Oryzias latipes: one gene and its partners. The protein of the gene in region 1 interacts with the protein of each later gene in a biochemical or structural test. Links are inferred from orthologs where the notes say so. Each region holds a gene or a part of one and is shown on either strand. Other genes may lie near its edges.

Region 1 (6,601 bases):
AAACTCAAATATTGAACTTTTTGATGGACTCCTTACCAAGACCCAGTTTGATCATCCTGTAGATGCGGTTAGCATGTGTTTGAGGGTCCTCCAGGGTGAATCCTGAAGACAGCAGGGCGGTCTCAAACAGCAGGATAACCAGATCCTTCACCGATTTGTCATTCTTGTCGGCCTCAGCCTTCTGCCTTAGAGTCTCCATGATGGGATGGTCGGGGTTGATCTCCAGGTGCTTCTTAGCAGCCATGTATCCCATAGTCGAGTTGTCGCGCAGCGCCTGGGCCTTCATGATCCTCTCCATGTTAGCCGTCCAGCCGTAGGTGCTGGTGACGATGCAGCATGGGGAGGAGACCAGGCGGTTGGACACTGTGACCTGTGGAAGGACTAAAGCATTAGGACTGCATCCTACCAGGAGACCCCCCCGCCATCCAAAGAAGCGTTCTTCTGCTTACCTTCTCAACCTTCTTTTCCAGGATGTCCTTCATGATCTTGCAAAGGTTCTCAAACTGAGCTTTCTTTTCTTCTTGCTTCTTCTTCTCCTCCTCATCCTCAGGCAGCTCCAGACCTTCCTTGGTGACTGAAACCAGGTTCTTGCCATCAAAGTCCTTCAGCTGCTGGACACAGTACTCGTCGATGGGCTCGATCATGTAGATGACCTCAAGACCGGCTTTGCGAAGGCGTTCCACAAAAGCAGAGTTGGCCACCTGGTCCTTGGTCTCGCCTGAACCGCAAAACATGACGTCAATCATCTGCTAACACTCAGGTGAAGAATCAGCTCAGATGCAGGTGGAGCAAGGCCTCACCAGTGATATAGTAGATGTGTTTCTGGTTGTCCTTCATGCGGGTGACATAGTCTTTGAGGGAAACCATCTCATCTCCAGAGGCTGAGGTGTAGTATCTTAGCAGCTCAGACAGCTTCTTCCTGTTCTGAGAGTCTTCGTGAATTCCAAGCTAAAGGGGGACATAGTATGTTAGTGGAAATGAACTGGAATACACCTTTCAGAAAGGTTTGTGGCGTCACAAAGCTACCTTGATGTTCTTGGAGAACTGTTCATATAACTTCTTGTAGTTGTCCTTGTCCTCAGACAGCTCTGTGAAGAGCTCCAGACATTTCTTAACCAGGTTCTTACGGATGACCTTCAGGATTTTGCTCTGCTGCAGCATCTCTCTGGAGATGTTCAGGGGCAGATCTTCAGAGTCCACCACACCCCTGATGAAATCTGACAAATGAAAAGTAGAATTCAGTTTAGTCATTTTGCTCCCCGCTCACCTCAGATTAGAATAGAATCCAGCAGGTCCGGACACTTACTGAGATACTCAGGGATGAGCTCATCACAGTTGTCCATGATGAAGACTCTACGCACGTAAAGCTTGATGTTGTTCTTCTTCTTTTTGTTCTCAAACAGGTCAAAGGGGGCACGGCGGGGCACGAAGAGGAGGGCACGGAACTCCAGCTGCCCTTCCACTGAAAAATGCTACAGAGGAAGGAAAGGGGGGGTTCAGAAAATGTTTCCCTTGAGACCAGATTTCCCCTCAACTTCCATCTGAATCACCAACCTTGACAGCCAGGTGATCCTCCCAGTCGTTGGTGAGACTCTTGTAGAACTCCCCGTACTCCTCGTTGGTGATGTCGTCTGGGTTGCGGGTCCACAGTGGTTTCGTTTTGTTCAGCTCCTCCTGGTCGATGTACTTCTCCTTGATCTTCTTCTTTTTTTTCTTTTTGTCTGAGGACTTGTCATGGTCATCCTCTTCATCTGACCCCACATCCTCAATCTCAGGTTTGTCCTCATCCTTCTCTTCCTCGTTCTTCTCCTTGTCTTTCTCCTTCTCCTCTTCCTCAGCCTCGTCGTCACTCACCTCCTTGTCCCGCTCCTTCTCCACCTGCAACCACAGAAGGAACAGTTTCAGCTCACTCGGATCAGAATACATCCCCTCGAAGTAAAATACAGGGTTCTGATACGTACAAAGAGTGTGATGGGGTAGCCGATAAACTGAGAGTGTTTCTTCACAATCTCCTTGATCCTCCTCTCCTCCAGGTATTCTGACTGATCTTCTTTCAGGTGGAGGATCACTTTGGTTCCTCGGCCCAAAGGCTCAGCTAGACATTGAAACCAAGAGTCAGTCAGCACACGAGAACCACAAACACCAGAAGCTGACATTCAAAAGCCTCACATTACTTACAATTGTCCAGTTTCACTGTGAAGGAGCCTCCAGCAGAGGATTCCCAAGCGTACTGCTCGTCGTCGTTGTGTTTGGTGATGACCGTCACCTTCTCAGCCACCAAATATGCAGAGTAGAAGCCCACGCCGAACTGCCCGATCATGGAGATGTCGGCTCCGGCTTGTAAAGCCTCCATAAATGCTTTAGTTCCAGATTTGGCGATGGTTCCCAGGTTGTTGATCAGGTCCGCTTTGGTCATTCCGATTCCCGTGTCCATCAAGGTCAGCGTCCGCTCCTGTTTGTTTGGCGTGATTTCGATTTTGAGTTCCTTTCCCGAGTCGAGCTTGGCGGGGTCAGTCAGGCTCTCGTAACGGATTTTGTCCAAAGCCTGTCGGAACAACGGATCCATGAACTTCCTTTTAGACGACCTGCTCACTTTTCATTTAGTACAACTGCAGCCAAAATGCAATTCTATGGGATTTAAATGGAATTTAAATTCATAAAAATAAAAAGCAGATAAAAAAAAAAAAAAAAATTCAATCAAAAAGAGACAAAGCCCAATGAGCACTGCCTAAGAAGAAACTGTCCAAGAATAATCAGTGAATTTAATAAATTAGCATTAGATTCAGTGCAGATGAAATATAGAAAAAAATCTTAGGCTTGTGTAAACTTACATCTGAGGAGTTAGAGATAAGCTCTCTGAGGAAGATCTCCTTGTTGGAATAGAAGGTGTTGATGATCAAGGACATAAGCTGAGCGATCTCAGCCTGGAATGCGAAGGTCTCAGTCTCCTCCTCCATTGGTTGGTCATGCATCTCAGGCATCTGAGTAACAAGAAAATATATCCTTTAGCTTAAGTTAACTAAAAATTAACCTTTAGTTATTGTTCCAAACACAAACAGCTTTATAGTCAAGATAGTGGGTTTAATAGAATGAGGGACACAAAAAATGAGTAATCTGGTAAAGTAGAGTCTATTATTTTGAAAAAAAAAATAATAATTCTAATCCTTAAAATTCAGATATACAATCCCCTTTTATAATCCTCCTTTAAAATTGGTTTTCAGTTCACCAAGTCCGAAACTAAAAATCTCAAAAATATAAAAAAAATTGTTTACATTTTAAATATTTAATTAAATTTGAAAAATCTTTTGAACAAGTCTCCAATGGCCTTTTTCTCCATCTCTTCCATTTGCGCAGCAGTGTCGCCCTCTGCTGGTTACCCAGCGTAAGGCGAGTTTCTAGAAGGTACCAGGAGGAGAGCAGAGCACGCGCAGCTTCACGAGGAGCAGAAAGTCGCTGCTCTCATCAACCGTTTTCAGAGTTCGTATGAATGAGATGTCCGCACAAAAAAATAAAATAAAATACCGGGACCAGCTCGCCCGGCTAAAACAACGGCTTAAAACTATAACAACAACAATTAAATAACCCGTAAGCGCATAATGTTATACTGCTGACACATGCAGGGCAGCAGCATCTCATCATTACCACTCGACTGGACAAAAAAAGTGGTTCCTTTATTAACCCTTAGAGAAAAATTAAACATTTGAGTAAATAGTTTGTGGCTAAATGCTTAAAAAGTAATTCACCCTAATAATCAACGAAGTGTGCAAAGTTAACAGATTTAAGAACCTTATTTTAGTCTCTAATCACGACGAGTCCTGCAGCTCATTGTGAGTGCATCATTTACCTTGGTCCTCCGTGGGAGTGGAATGCTCCGCTATTGATCGCTGTTTCTCGCTTTCGTCGCTCCACTGCTTCAAAATCTGTCCCGCCGTTCGTCTCTCCGCTATTTGTACTCTTTCAGAGGCTTCGAGAAAAAACCCTGACGGGGGCTTCCAGAAGCGTCTGGAATCCTCCCGGCTGCGGCTTGGTGGTGCTCGCTGATAGGCTGAGCTACACGTCTGTCAACGCCCGGTCCCCGCCCATTTCACCATATTTGGTGTTGGTAGGTGGAGAATGTGGAGAGACTATACCAAGCGAGGAACACGTGTAGGAGTGGGATCTAGAAAGAACCACGCTGTGTGCATTGAAAATTCCAGAACTAGAAAGAAAAACCTTTTCAAGTTACGAACTTTCTTAATTAAAATGTGCTTCACATTTGCAGAATTGGTATTTGACATTTTTGGCTTTGAATATTTTAAAGTTTAGCATGCATTAGGTTAAAAAAGACAAAAGGCTCTAACCATTATATTTTATTAAAAATTTTAAAGTTTTACATACAAAATGTAAAAGTTACAAAAGAAACACAAGTGAAAGCTGAGAAACTTTTTATATAGCGAATTGAGTTTTTAAATGTTTCTATATACAGTGTTTCCATTTTGGCAAAAGTCAATTAATGTCTGTATTTGTTTTGTCCAGGCAATACAACACATGTTACAAAAATAAAATAAAAAACCTTTGAAAGGCCTGAAAAAAACATTTAGTCAACTTCTTCCATTCTTGATGTGTCATCATCTCCCTCCAATACTGGCATATCTTCATCAGTCGGCTGAATGATGTCTTCAACTGCAGAGTCGTCATCATCAATTCCTACAAAAACCAGACAGCATTCTTTAGCAACCAACCAATCTGAACTGTGGGAATTGTAATTGTGTTTGCAGGTATATAGGAAGTAAAACATACCAAGACCCAGTTTGATCATCCTGTAGATGCGGTTAGCATGTGTTTGAGGGTCCTCCAGGGTGAATCCTGAAGACAGCAGGGCGGTCTCAAACAGCAGGATAACCAGATCCTTCACTGCTTTATCATTCTTGTCCACTTCAGCCTTCTCCCGTAGTGTCTCGACGATTGGATGGAGTGGGTTGATCTCCAGATGCTTCTTGGCTGTCATGTATCCCATGGTGGAGTTGTCCCTTAGGGCCTGGGATTTCATGATCCTCTCCATGTTAGCCGTCCAGCCATAGGTGCTGGTGACGATGCAGCATGGGGAGGAGACCAGGCGGTTGGAAACTGTGACCTGTGGAAGGAGAAACAAAGTTTTTAATGATGAAATTCTGGTGATTGATCAAAATTTATGAGGTAAACCCATTTTCCAAGAGCATACCTTTTCAATCTTTTTGTCCAGTATATCTTTCATGATCTTGCAAAGGTTCTCAAACTTAGTTTTGAGTTCCTCCTGCTTCTTCTTCTCCTCATCATCCTCAGGCAGCTCCAGACCTTCCTTGGTGACTGAAACCAGATTCTTTCCATCATACTCCTTCAGCTGCTGGACACAGTACTCGTCGATGGGCTCGATCATGTAGATGACCTCAAGACCGGCTTTGCGAAGGCGTTCCACAAAAGCAGAGTTGGCCACCTGGTCCTTGGTCTCGCCTAAACCGCAAAACATGACGTCAACCATCTGCTAACACTCAGGTGAAGAATCAGCTCAGATGCAGGTGGAGCAAGGCCTCACCAGTGATATAGTAGATGTGTTTCTGGTTGTCCTTCATGCGAGAGACATAGTCTTTGAGGGAAACCATCTCATCTCCAGAGGCTGAGGTGTAGTATCTTAGCAGCTCAGACAGCTTCTTCCTGTTCTGAGAGTCTTCGTGAATTCCAAGCTAAAGGGGGACATAGTATGTTAGTGGAAATGAACTGGAATACACCTTTCAGAAAGGTTTGTGGCGTCACATCAAAGCTACCTTGATGTTCTTGGAGAACTGTTCATATAACTTCTTGTAGTTGTCCTTGTCCTCAGACAGCTCTGTGAAGAGCTCCAGACATTTCTTAACCAGGTTCTTGCGGATGACCTTCAGGATTTTGCTCTGCTGCAGCATCTCTCTGGAGATGTTCAGGGGCAGATCTTCAGAGTCCACCACACCTTTAATGAAATCTGAATGGACAAAAGAAACCTTGTTCAACTTTAAACTTATTTTTTACACTGCAATATGACAGATAGTTAAGATTATAAATTAGGACTATATGTGACTATCATGTGTTGCTTACTGAGATACTCTGGGATGAGCTCATCACAGTTGTCCATGATAAATACTCTGCGCACGTATAGCTTGATGTTGTTTCTTTTTTTCTTGTTTTCGAAGAGGTCAAAGGCAGCTCTTCTCGGTACAAAGAGGAGGGCTCTAAACTCCAGCTGACCTTCCACTGAGAAGTGCTGCAGGTTCAACAAATACATGTTAGTGTTAGCCAGATAGAGCAATAAGTATCAGCAATAATAAACAGTTAGTTTAGGCCTTTTCATAGCTAAATATACCTTCACTGCCAGGTGGTCTTCCCAGTCGTTGGTGAGACTCTTGTAGAACTCCCCGTATTCCTCGTTGGTGATGTCGTCTGGGTTACGGGTCCAGATGGGCTTGGTCTTGTTTAGCTCTTGAGCATCAATGTACTTTTCCTTGACCTTCTTCTTCCTCTTGTTTTTTCCATCCTTTGTGTCTTCATCTTCGTCTGATCCCACGTCTTCAATCTGAGGTTTGTCTTTGTTCTCAGCACTCTCCTTTTCTACTTC
Region 2 (5,845 bases), on another chromosome or scaffold:
CTAATTGAGCAATGTAAAAAAAGAAATCAGCTGAACAAGCTAGCATAACTGAGCATGAAGGTTTGATCCCAAATGAGGCAAACAGAGTGGGAGTGCCAAAAATAAGCGTATTGAAGAACAGTGGGGCCCAGAACCTGCACTGTGTCCTGAGCCTGATTCAGCTGTCTATACTGTGGGAGGGGCTGAGTCACTGAGTCCATGGCAACATGTGGGACGTTTTTTTTGAGTGTTTTTTTGAAAATGCTTGGGAAAATTTGTGTCAATGATGAAGCTGGTCAGAAAGACAGAAAGACAAAAGCCTTGCTCAACGGCCTGTTGGCAGTGTCCATGCTGAGACGGGGAAGAAATGGGTTTACATCCAAAATCGGGTTACATCAAATATGTTTATCCAAGATTTATCAAACACTTGGATCCTTTTGGACCCTTGAGATCAAACCCCCAAAAAGGTTCAGTGACTCCCTGAAACGAGGAGAAGACATCCAGGACACAGAGGTGAGGGTTTGTTTTCAACAAACACAAAGTGACGTGTGGGTGGCTCTTTCCCTGCTTTGTCTCAGCTTTGAAAAAACACATAGATACATCTATTGAGAAGTAAAGCAGCTCAACTCTTTCCAGCAGTGTAGCTCACAGACAAGTTTCTAACATGGGCATCATGCCTTAAACCTGCACGGCACTACAGAACATTCTGATCACTGGGTGGGACTGAAACCTGCATCCACATCACACACAAAGGCAGGGGTGAACACCGTTCTTTACATCTAGTTGACCAAGAACAGGGTGCAGGCGATAGCGTCCAGCCGGCCGTCCACTCGATGCTTAACTGCTGCGTGGCTCTTCAAGCTGATTTTGGACTCAGCGTTTGAAAGTCGTTTCATTTTAGGCAGATTATCACTCATTTCACGGCTGCCTTGAAAGTGTGCATCTGAAATGCCCACCTGTAAGTCAGCGTGACTGTCTGAAAGTCAACCACACACACACACACACACACACACACCCACACACACACACACACACACACACACACAGACTTCAGTGTGCTTTACCTAAGGGCTTTACTATATTTGTTGACTGCAGCTTTCCAGTCCTGGTTCTTAAAAAGGCTGTTTCCAATATTCTTCACGTCTTCAGCAACTGACAGAACTTTGTCAACCTGAAAGGAGAAGAAGATTAAACAACAGTGGAGGGGCTTAAATCGGCTTTTTCATTTTCAAAATATACATGATTCAATCTGTTTATTTCTACAGCTTCAGGCAATATTGTTCTTTCTTAGGGGGACAAAGTTAGAAAAACAAAAATCATTACAACCCTGAAAGTCTACTGGACAGGACGGTGGAAAAACAAGACAGAAACTCCAATAACATCAAAGCAAATATTCAGCAAACCTGCCATTGAATTGATTTAAATGCACTCGCAGCATCAAACACAGAAAATGTAATCCAAAACACACCAAAGTCTCTTCTTATCTGCCCTGCTGCCTGATTGTGCAGTCAGTGACAAACATTTCCAGAAGTGGCGTGCTGGTCCTCTCAGCGCCGTCTGATCCCATCTGCCAGACGGAAGCAGAGTCCTTGAAGATCAAAGCCCGCTGTGACACTCACGTCTTTAAAGTCCACGTCCGAGTCCTCGGGGAAGTCTGGGTGGGCGTCTCCCGTGCCGTCGCCCGCTGGGGCGCCCCAGCTGTCGCCGTCCTTGTGCTCCCCACAGTCAGCGATGACACAAGGCTGCACAGACAGAAACCTGGATTCAGACATTCCTGTGGGAGTCCAGGCAGGGACAGTCATCGGAATGTGGCGTTCAGGAACAGCGTCAGTATGGAGGAAGGGTGGGAGCTGATTGTCAGAAATGCCAACAGTTGCTTTTTTTGTTACTGTTAAAAAAAAAGTAGTAGCTTTCTGAGAAACCAGAAAAAAACAACTGGACCTTCCAAGACAGAATCTCACCAAAGAATAAAGACGAGACAGGAAGCAGGGAAGTACATAGTTCCACTTCCACGCAGAGGAACACAACAGCTTTGTGCTCTTCATCAGCTGAATTTCTCATCAGTTTGCAGTGTGAAGAGGAGGGCAGACAGCAGAGCGGCAGCTGAACATCACTGACATTCTGATCAATCAGCAGCACACGGTTCTTCATCGAGCGTTGCAGCTTCGAGGGAAAAGAAGGGTGATGGAGGTGCAAGACAAACACTAGAATGCATCTGGCAATGATGCACAAATCCCGTCAGTGACCAAAGTTCATCCACCTGAAGAGACGTGTGCAGTGGGTGGAGGAAGGTTTCAGGTGTGATGTGTGACTAAAGAGCGTCATGGGAAGCAGACGGGGATGGTTTGGACACGTTGAGAGGAGGAACGGCGATGATGTTGGGAAGGTTAGAGCTACCAGGAAAGAGGCCTAGAGGAAGATGTCCGACCCCCAAACTCAGCTCTGCTGCGCATCAATGCACGTTAGTTCAATACCGTCCATAGTGCCTGTATTATTAACTGACTTCTTAGGTTCTTCTGTTATCAGACAAGGGTTGTGTGTTTTTTTTAACATACCGGTACGGGATGAAGACAGAAGACGTCTGGCGAAACATGTCAGGTATGTGAAAAAAACCAACCGTGTCTGATAACAGAAGAACCTAAGAAGTCAATCAGTGCATGTTCAAAACCCACATTTCTTTACTATTTAGCTCAATTTAAGCTCAAACTGCAAAATAGAAAGAAAAAAACAACCAACCAGTCAGCATAAACACAACAAACGTTTACATTCCTAACTAATCACTGGTTACCATGGTGATGGGGGGGGGGGGCCTTGACCATACGAATGTTGAGAGCTGGAGCAGAGTTCCAGAACCGTGTGTGTGACTGACAAACTGACAGCGGTCCAAATCGCAAAGAACCAACTGAAAGAACAGTCCAAACCTGAAGGACCTGAAAGCCGGACCTGGCTAAAGATGGCGAGGCTCACACTGGACCGAGTGAGCGTGACATCATCCGTAGAAGATGACTAACTACCAGATCCAACAAATTGAAGTCCATTCAGTTGCCATTTGCTCATAACTAGGAGCCAGACTAGATCAGTAAGCCGTGATTGATCTAGGCTTGAGTCACCATCTCTATGGCAACCACTCTGGCATATCAGGGGTGAGTTTGTTAGAAGTCTACACTCCTACCACACAAAACCTGTCAATCACACGTTTCCAACATTCGTAGTGAGGCCACACACTATTCAGGCGTCTGATCGGTCAGTTTATAACCTGAATAAATGCATTACAGAAAAAATGAGGGTTAATAAGAACATGTTTACAAAGGTATCAGAAAGAATCCAGAACGCTTCTTCTGACCAATAGAATATCTAACAGCTGTTTATTTCTCTCCAGAGGTCTATGGGATTCCTGGAGCCAGCAGGTACTTCCTGTTAGGACGCTGGGGGACTCAGTCCAGTTTTCTTATACAGTCATTGGCCTCACATATCTGATGGGAGGGGCCAGCAGTGTCAGAAACCCCTCCCACTTCAGAATCACAAACTGCTGAAAGTACTTTTCCCAGAGTTCTGCAGCATCTAAGCTCCTCCTGTGGAATACTGTGTTTGATGGGAAACGGAAAAAGACCGGCCTTTATTTTTCAAAACATTGAAGACTGTCCAAAGTAATAAATGATGTGGTGAAGATTCTGAATTGTGTTCATCAGCTCACCTTGACGGGAGCATCTTCCTCGGTCTCAACAGCTTCCAGCGTTTTAACCACTCCCATTCCCTTCAGCACCTGTCCGAACACCACGTGTTTTCCATCCAGGTGCGGCGTGGCCACCGTAGTGATGAAGAACTGGGAGCCGTTGGTGTTGGGCCCCGCGTTGGCCATGCTCAGTAGACCCACTTTGTCGTGCTGCAGCAGGAGAAAACACAAAGCAGACGCCTGTAGACAGCCATGCATCCTTTTAATACCACACCCTCTGAATCCTAAAGCTGGAATGAATCTTCTCACCTAATAACAAACACACATTACTGCATCAGAATAACAACCCAAGTGAACTGTCACATTTCTACAATCATCATCATGAACATTAGAAGAAGAAATCCATACAAAAATCAGAATATTAATAAAAGATTCATTGGGATCAATGGCATAACAGGGTTAAAGCTAGGGCTGCACCATATGAGGAAATCAAGTGATCTGCCATATTAGTGATCTATGTTGCCATGACGATATAACTTGCTATACATGAACAAACAGTTCAAAGTCTCATTTCCATTTAGCTGCAACAGTTACATTTAAATAAGAGTCAACATAACTTAAATTATACCACAAATGACACTAGTCTATGAGAGGCAACCATCCAACATGAAGGGCTCCATCTGATTGGTCAAGTGCATCAATGAAATTATTTTTATTCGTAAAAAATTGTCTTAGCACATTTAGGGGAAGCATTTATCGCAATTTTTGCTGTATTTTGCGCTATGCGTATTGCAGGTATATGCATGATATGCATATTTGCGATTTACTGTGCAGGCCTGGTTAGAGCTAAATAAAAACAGTCTGAGTCTGTCCCACTGACCTCCACAGCAGATAAAATCCTAAAGGAGGAAGCTCCAGAAACAGGTCTAAACAGCTCCAGGACAGTAACGCAGTTCTTTACTAGTAATAAAAGTGAAGTGTGTCCAAAAGTAGAGTAGTAAGCCAGTAGAGACATGAAAACTGATGTTCAGAGCTTCATCTTTCTACCTGCTCAGAAGGTTGAACTCTGCACGAGCTGCAGACATTTGCTTTTTTTCACGACGACCAGAAATGATGTAACAATGGGTCCCTACAAAATCTAATAGTGGGTAGAAATCCAATTCTTGCTGATTGATTTTGGAAAATGTGATCAATATACAATGACGTAAATCTGTCAAACTCCCGTAGGTTGCTTCCTGGAAAACATGACGGTGCAGACAATCATGACATTAGCTTCACTAATGAGGACATTAATATGTCTGGAAAATAGACAGGATGACGCTGCTGCCCTCTCTGCTGCCCTCACTGCTGCCCTCTCTGTTGCCCTCACTGCTGCCCTCACTGCTGCCCTCTCTGTTGCCCTCACTGCTGCCCTCTCTGCTGCCCTCTCTGTTGCCCTCACTGCTGCCCTCTCTGCTGCCCTCTCTGTTGCCCTCACTGCTGCCCTCTCTGCTGCCCTCTCTGTTGCCCTCACTGCTGCCCTCTCTGCTGCCCTCTCTGTTGCCCTCTCTGCTGCCCTCTCTGCTGCCCTCACTGCTGCCCTCTCTGCTGCCCTCACTGCTGCCCTCTCTGCTGCCCTCTCTGTTGCCCTCTCTGCTGCCCTCACTGCTGCCCTCACTGCTGCCCTCTCTGTTGCCCTCACTGCTGCCCTCACTGCTGCCCTCTCTGCTGCCCTCACTGCTGCCCTCACTGCTGCCCTCTCTGTTGCCCTCTCTGTTGCCCTCTCTGCTGCCCTCTCTGCTGCCCTCACTGCTGCCCTCTCTGCTGCCCTCTGCTGCCCTCTCTGCTGCCCTCTGCTTCCCTCTCTGCTGCCCTCACTGCTGCCCTCATTGCTGCCCTCTCTGTTGCCCTCTCTGCTGCCCTCTCTGCTGCCCTCACTGCTGCCCTCTCTGCTGCCCTCTCTGCTGCCCTCTCTGCTGCCCTCTCTGCTGCCCTCTCTGCTGCCCTCTCTGCTGCCCTCACTGCTGCCCTCTCTGCTGCCCTCTCTGTTGCCCTCTCTGCTGCCCTCTCTGCTGCCCTCTCTGCTGCCCTCTCTGCTGCCCTCACTGCTGCCCTCACTGCTGCCCTCACTGCTGCCCTCACTGCTGCCCTCACTGCTGCCCTCTCTGCTGCCCTCACTGCTGCCCTCACTGCTGCCCTCACTGTTGCCCTCTC
Region 3 (5,999 bases), on another chromosome or scaffold:
TAACAATATTTTAGGTCAGAACGTCAATGTCAGTTTCAATAGTGATAGACATGTGGTCAAGTTTATCAGGTTTTTTTCATGTTTAGTTTTTATTGAGTGTGAGGTTTTATTTGTTTAACCTTCTAGAAGCTGCATGACTGGTTAATGTGAGGCCTGTTCTGTATCAGTGCGACTGTAATAAGATAATAATGAAGTTACACAATAATCATAATGAGATTGCATTCATTGCCTTTTGAACACACTTCAGTTGGCAGGATCACAAAGCAGATAAACGACACATTTGGTATTGATATATTGTAAATTTAAGAAGGGGATTTTTTTTTTCTTTTTCTTTTAGAATATAGATAGGTGAAATGTTTGTATCCAAAATAAAGGAAAGCATTTTGTTGTCCTATACTGAATGTGTTTTTACTGTTTTGTGCCTGCAGGTGCTTCATTGCTCAGGTCGCGTGCACGTTAACAGCGTTGAAGCTGAGCAGAACAGTAACGGACAAAAAGAGCCTCCTGTTCCGTACCTGGTTCTGATCTGTGACCCAATCCCCCACCCCTCCAACATCGAGGTCCCTTTGGACACCAAGACCTTCCTCAGCCGCCACACAATGGACATGAAGTTCACTTACTGTGATGAGAGGTGGGTTTTTTTTTGTTGTTTTGTCTCCTCCTCCTCCTTTTAATACAGTAAGAGCAAAAGGTTAAGAGTGTGAACTCATTTAAAACATTTGTAACCACACAGAGCCCCCTACTGTTCAGTACTGGTACTGAAAGTCTAGACCTAAAGAAAATCTTTGTTTTGTTTAATCCAGGATCACTGAGCTCATGGGTTATGACCCAGAGGACCTTATGAATCGCTCTGTGTATGAGTACTACCACGCTCTGGACTCAGACCATCTCACTAAGACTCACCAAAACTGTAAGTAAAACAGTTTTGTTTTAAAAAAATTAAAACCAAAATTTAAACTTTAGCTTCTGTTTTAATAATATTTGAAATATATATATATATATATATATATATATATATATATATATATATATATATATATATATATATATATATGTGTTTTTAAATCAGTTAATTTTTTTATGCTTGTAGTGTTTGCTAAGGGCCAGGTCTGCACGGGTAGATACCGGATGTTGGCCAAGAGTGGAGGCTTTGTGTGGGTCGAAACACAAGCCACCGTTATCTACAACACCAAGAACTCTCAGCCGCAGTGTGTTGTTTGTGTCAACTTTGTGCTCAGGTACTGTGAAGTCTCTGCAGATTGGACAGTTGCGTCTTTAGAGAAGACATAATCATCAAAGCATTCGCAGAAGATTTTTCTTTGCTGCAGATGTAACTTTCCTGTCTTATGCTTTTTTTTTTTTGAACAGTGGAATCCAAGAAGAGAAACTGATCATGTCTCTGGAGCAGATTGAGGATGTGAAATCGGTGAAAGAGGAGCCGCAGGAGGCAGGCGAGGTTGGAGCTGAGAGCGACAAGACTGCATCAACGACGGCAGAAACTGGACCGGAGCAAGAACTGATAAAGCCCTTTAAGAAGATGATGGAGTCAGAACCGTTTGACACACTGTATGACCAGCTGAAGGAGGAGCCTGAGGCCCTCACCCTGCTCGCTCCAGCAGCTGGAGACACAATCATCTCCCTGGATTTCAGCCAGCCTGGTGTGTAGATCTATAACCGCATTCAGAAATGTTCATTATTAGCATCAGTGAACCCATTCTCACTCTGGTTCCGATTTTCCTGGTGAAGAACCAGAACCAGAGATCCACTTGCTGAAGGACACTCCTCTCTACAATGATGTGATGCTGCTCTCCACGAGTGACAAGCTGGCTCTTCCTCTGTCCCCTCTGCCGCCCAGCGAGGTTCTCGGTCTGTCCAACACACCTGATGAGGCCAAACCTGAGAGTCCCAGCGAAGCCCCACCCAACACATTGATCCCGGACAGTCCGGCGCAGGTGGGTCGGCTTGAAAAGCATATTTATTAAAAGTATTGACTATTTTGTTTTTTGAAGAGGGGACAATGGAAAGGGTTTTTTTTTATTGTAGACCGCCAGTCCGATAGACTTTTGCTTCCCCATGGATTCAGAAGTGAACTCTGAATTCAAACTGGATTTGGTGGAGAAGATGTTTGCCATCGACACCGAATCCAAAACCCCATTCACCACACAGGTAATCATCAGCTTTTACTGTATTTGTAGCGTCTTTATTTAGTTATCATCAAACCAAAACTGTCAAGAACTCTCATTGATTGAACTGCTTTGATCCCTAATGTTGACGGAGGACTTGGATCTGGAAATGTTGGCTCCCTACATCTCCATGGACGATGATTTCCAGCTGCCCTGTGTCGCCGTGGAGGAGCCACAGTCTTCTGGAGCAGCCAAACCCCTGAAGCCTTCTCCGGTTGGTGTTACACAAGACGCCCTCAGCTATCCCAGCTCCCATTTCAGCCCACTTAGCGGTTGCACGGCCTCTCCAGGGCCTCCTGACACTGCCAGCACCGCGTCTCTGCCCACCGAGACACTGGACAGGTGACGTCTCCAAACGTGAACAACTTCCGTCACATTTTAGAACAGCTGGTTAAATGGAATGTTTCTCTGCTGCAGAGCTGGAAACCTGCAGAAAGATGTCCACCTCTGCAGTCTAGCAGCTCCAAACACGCAGCGTAAAAGAAAGCTGAGTGATCTAATGGAGATCATCGAACAGGTAAGTCCACCTTAAATAGTTGATGTAACTTCACTTCCACAGATTTCAGGTAAACCATTTTTATTTGATGTTCCTCTCAGGGACCTTTGCCCAAGGAGTCAGAGAAAGGCAAAAAACTAAAAGCATCAGAGCTGGGAACAACCAGGACTGTCCTTTTGGTATCATCAGGTAAGAAAAATAAAAAAGACTGGGTCGGTTTCATTGTAACATGTCAGCTGAAGTTGATGTCTCTCTGACGTAGATTTGGCAAGTCGGCTGCTTGGCACCACTTCCGAGAGCTCCAGTTCTCCCTTCACTCTGCCGCAGCTCACTCGCTATGACTGCGAGGTCAACGCCCCTTTACAAGGTCGCCAGTGCCTCCTGCAGGGGGAGGAGCTTCTGCGGGCTTTGGACCACGTCATCTGAGCCGGTCTCTCCCTGCTGGACTGACTGGACACTACAACGAGTCCCTGACATTTTCATCCCCCCTCCTTCCTTCCCGCCCTCCACCCCACACTTCCTTATTTATGTATCCGTACGAGTTCGACTATTTAGTCCGGCTGCTGTTCGTGCACATCGTGTGATATTTGCAGCATTCCACCAAGACAAACACCACAGCAGCAGTGTGGGTTTTTATTTTTTGGGTTCGTGGGATTGTCGTAGTTCTTGGTTCATTTGTTTCTCCCTCTTCCTAGGGGGGGAGGGGTCTCTCAGCACACAGCGCCTTGACAGGTGACCCGTCTGCAACGGGTCACCATAGAACCTGGCGCTACTGCCAGCAGTGTATTGTAAGCTTCAGTCGCACAATTTCTATTTTCTTAAAGAAAAAAATGACTACCAGCAATATATATTAAGCCTTTTTAACGTAGTTTTAATGGGATATAAACAGTTCTATTTTTTTCTTCCCATACTTGTATGTTGTAGTACTCGTACCTAGAAAGATATGGCTTAAACCTGAAGTGGGTTGAATGTTTCCATTTAATGGCTGTCTTTGATCTAAACACAATTGTGTAGCAGTCTAGTACAAGTCACTTTATTTGTTGTTACTGTACATATACCAGGGAAATGTGTTCAGTGTGGCTTCACAGCTTGGTGTGAAGTTTTATCTCATGCAGGATTTACTTTTTTTTTTTTTTTTTTAAACATGAATTGGATTCATGGTTTTAGTCATTTGTGTGACGTTCTCAAAGCGGTCAGTTCTAATCCCATTTTGCTCATGTACATCCTAACACTTTCTTGCTCACTTAATGGTAGTCCATTTAATACCATTTCTTCTTGCCGTAGTTTTGAGTCACTCATGCTACTTTTGCTGTTTAACAATAAATGGCTTTAAAAGAAAAATAGGAGCGTTTGCAGTTGACCTTTTTATTTAACAAACAGTGCATTATGGGTCGGGGAAGACAAACATTTCAAATTAGATGTTTCATTTCTCAGAGTTATTAAAATGGCATCTGTGCTACTCAAAGGGAAACTTAAACGAAGAGTCTGTGTTCACATTTCCTCAGTGTGCCAGCAGGGAAGGCAGACATGACGCCTGTCCGTCTCCATCCTGTTACTCGATGAATTCAGGAGTCACTTGCAGTCGCAGCAGCTCCTTCCCTCTCTGCACCAGCATGGTGATCCTGTCGCTGCTGCGGACCGCCTTGTAGATCTCCTCTGAGGTGTTGACTTTAACGCCGTTGATCTCCACTACGATGTCTCCTGCTAGCATGCCGGCTCTGAAACGCACAAAGCAGCCCGAGGGAGAAATGAGTGGCACTTGAATGCATCACCTGCAATCTGGGTCATACTCGACTTCCCTTACAGCGCTTTACCTGCTAGCAGGCGAGCCAATGATGACTCTGTGGATCAGGATGCCATGCGTCACGTTGGGGAACATGGGGTCTCTCAGCTGCAGCTCAGTGATGATGCTACGGAGGGATTCAGACCAATATGGATTTAGATGCTCTGGTGATTTAAATATGCCGAAATCGCTGTGGTTACCTTGGAGTCAGCGTCAGCATCATAACTCCAATGTATCGAGCCTTAGTTCTAGATTCGCCAACTGAAGACTCTTAAAGAAAAAAACATAATCAGGTGTAGAGTCTGTACAGAAAACAGGAGGTCTTTTTATTTCTTACTGGTTTTCTTTGCTGCTTGATCAAGGAAGATTTTCAGCCGGTCAGATGGAATAGCAAATGAAATCCCAGCAGTGACCTTCATTGTGTTGATACCAATAACTTCCCCATCCTAAGAACAAGTGAGATATCAGTTACAACATGCAATCACGGGGCTGCATCTTATTTTTGTTTTTTAATTTAATCAACACCAAAACTATTGACTTAGTAATAAGACCAGGAGGAAGGAAGAGAAGAGCCTTGTGCCTTTCAGCTTAAAGCTGGCTTTAGGCAGAAACTGCAGCCGGGTCGGCTAACAGAGTCACTGCCAGATGGCTTCTTAAGTAGCTCAATCCCATTCATTTCAATAGAAAACTTTACAACAAAGAGAAAACTATTCCAAAACCTCATTCATGTTTAATACCTATGGCAAATATTAACATTAAGTCTCATTTTAATTTGAAAATGACCACATTAAAATGAATTAAATATAGATATTATTTAATGCTTGCATATGGTGCTCAATGTGTTGTTGTATTTGAGCTGAAAATCCGATCGAATTCAGTTTGAGGAAAACAAAACATTTGAATGCTTTTACTTCAATATTAAGCAAGAGCTGTGACTCACCAGATTAATCAGTGGACCTCCGGAATTTCCAAACTGCAAAAGAAGTTAGTCACAGGTGATGAGAAGTAATCCAACACCTGAGTAACAACAACTCCATTCACCCTTGATTTAAGGGAATGTCATTAGTCACGGAGTCACCGGCAGAGAACTCACATCGATGGTGGCGTCTGTCTGGATGTACTCCATGTTGGGGTTGGACAGGCCCAGCTCCTTGCTGTCCCTTTGCGCCGAGCTAACGATCCCGGATGTGATCGTGTTCCGGAGAGCGAACGGGCTTCCCATGGCGACCACAAACTCCCCCTGTCGAATATCTGACGACTGGCCCAGTTTCAGAGTGGGTAGTGGGTTCTGCACGTCCCAAAAGAAAAAGAAAAAAGCTCTTTCAATATAAGAAAAAAGGTGTTTCTTTTAGTCTCATTTTGTCCTTATGTTTGTGTTAGATTGCAGACACGTTGGTCTGTGGTTTTTCCCAACGATTCTGCAATCCTTTTGAGTAAAGTAAACAAATCACAGCTTTCTTATTCTGATGTAGAAAACCTGGAAATTACGATCTTCGCTGAACAGGAACCAAAACTAAAAGTCAACCGATGACTCAAA

The links. The genes of interacting proteins can lie anywhere in the genome.
Region 2: the proteins of heat shock protein HSP 90-alpha (region 1) and ppid form a complex in vitro, tested with the Homo sapiens proteins (2 studies listed by BioGRID). The link is inferred for Oryzias latipes from reciprocal best matches to the Homo sapiens genes HSP90AA1 and PPID.
Region 3: the proteins of heat shock protein HSP 90-alpha (region 1) and hif1a form a complex in vitro, tested with the Homo sapiens proteins (4 studies listed by BioGRID and IntAct, with this or other methods). The link is inferred for Oryzias latipes from reciprocal best matches to the Homo sapiens genes HSP90AA1 and HIF1A.

The regions. Positions count from the first base shown.
Region 1 is NC_019882.2:17,293,363-17,299,963, reverse strand, and holds the start of heat shock protein HSP 90-alpha, read right to left. Parts: upstream 4,005-6,601; 5' UTR 3,845-4,004; intron 2,982-3,844; coding exon 2,832-2,981; intron 2,546-2,831; coding exon 2,179-2,545; intron 2,096-2,178; coding exon 1,962-2,095; intron 1,879-1,961; coding exon 1,555-1,878; intron 1,473-1,554; coding exon 1,307-1,472; intron 1,218-1,306; coding exon 1,027-1,217; intron 949-1,026; coding exon 801-948; intron 719-800; coding exon 450-718; intron 371-449; coding exon 37-370; intron 1-36. Other genes in the region: heat shock protein HSP 90-alpha 1, read right to left, coding at 4,577-4,686, 4,780-5,113, 5,201-5,469, 5,552-5,699, 5,781-5,971, 6,085-6,250, 6,350-6,601. UniProt on the Homo sapiens protein: Molecular chaperone that promotes the maturation, structural maintenance and proper regulation of specific target proteins involved for instance in cell cycle control and signal transduction.
Region 2 is NC_019868.2:1,145,560-1,151,404, reverse strand, and holds part of ppid (peptidyl-prolyl cis-trans isomerase D), read right to left. Parts: intron 3,863-5,845; coding exon 3,674-3,862; intron 1,722-3,673; coding exon 1,599-1,721; intron 1,151-1,598; coding exon 1,044-1,150; intron 1-1,043. UniProt on the Homo sapiens protein: PPIase that catalyzes the cis-trans isomerization of proline imidic peptide bonds in oligopeptides and may therefore assist protein folding. Proposed to act as a co-chaperone in HSP90 complexes such as in unligated steroid receptors heterocomplexes.
Region 3 is NC_019880.2:11,956,514-11,962,512, reverse strand, and holds the end of hif1a (hypoxia-inducible factor 1-alpha), read left to right. Parts: intron 1-428; coding exon 429-631; intron 632-803; coding exon 804-910; intron 911-1,090; coding exon 1,091-1,238; intron 1,239-1,368; coding exon 1,369-1,658; intron 1,659-1,746; coding exon 1,747-1,952; intron 1,953-2,043; coding exon 2,044-2,166; intron 2,167-2,271; coding exon 2,272-2,525; intron 2,526-2,600; coding exon 2,601-2,700; intron 2,701-2,780; coding exon 2,781-2,868; intron 2,869-2,941; coding exon 2,942-3,105; 3' UTR 3,106-4,020; downstream 4,021-5,999. Other genes in the region: serine protease HTRA2, mitochondrial-like, read right to left, coding at 4,232-4,397, 4,494-4,589, 4,663-4,732, 4,800-4,908, 5,403-5,435, 5,556-5,750.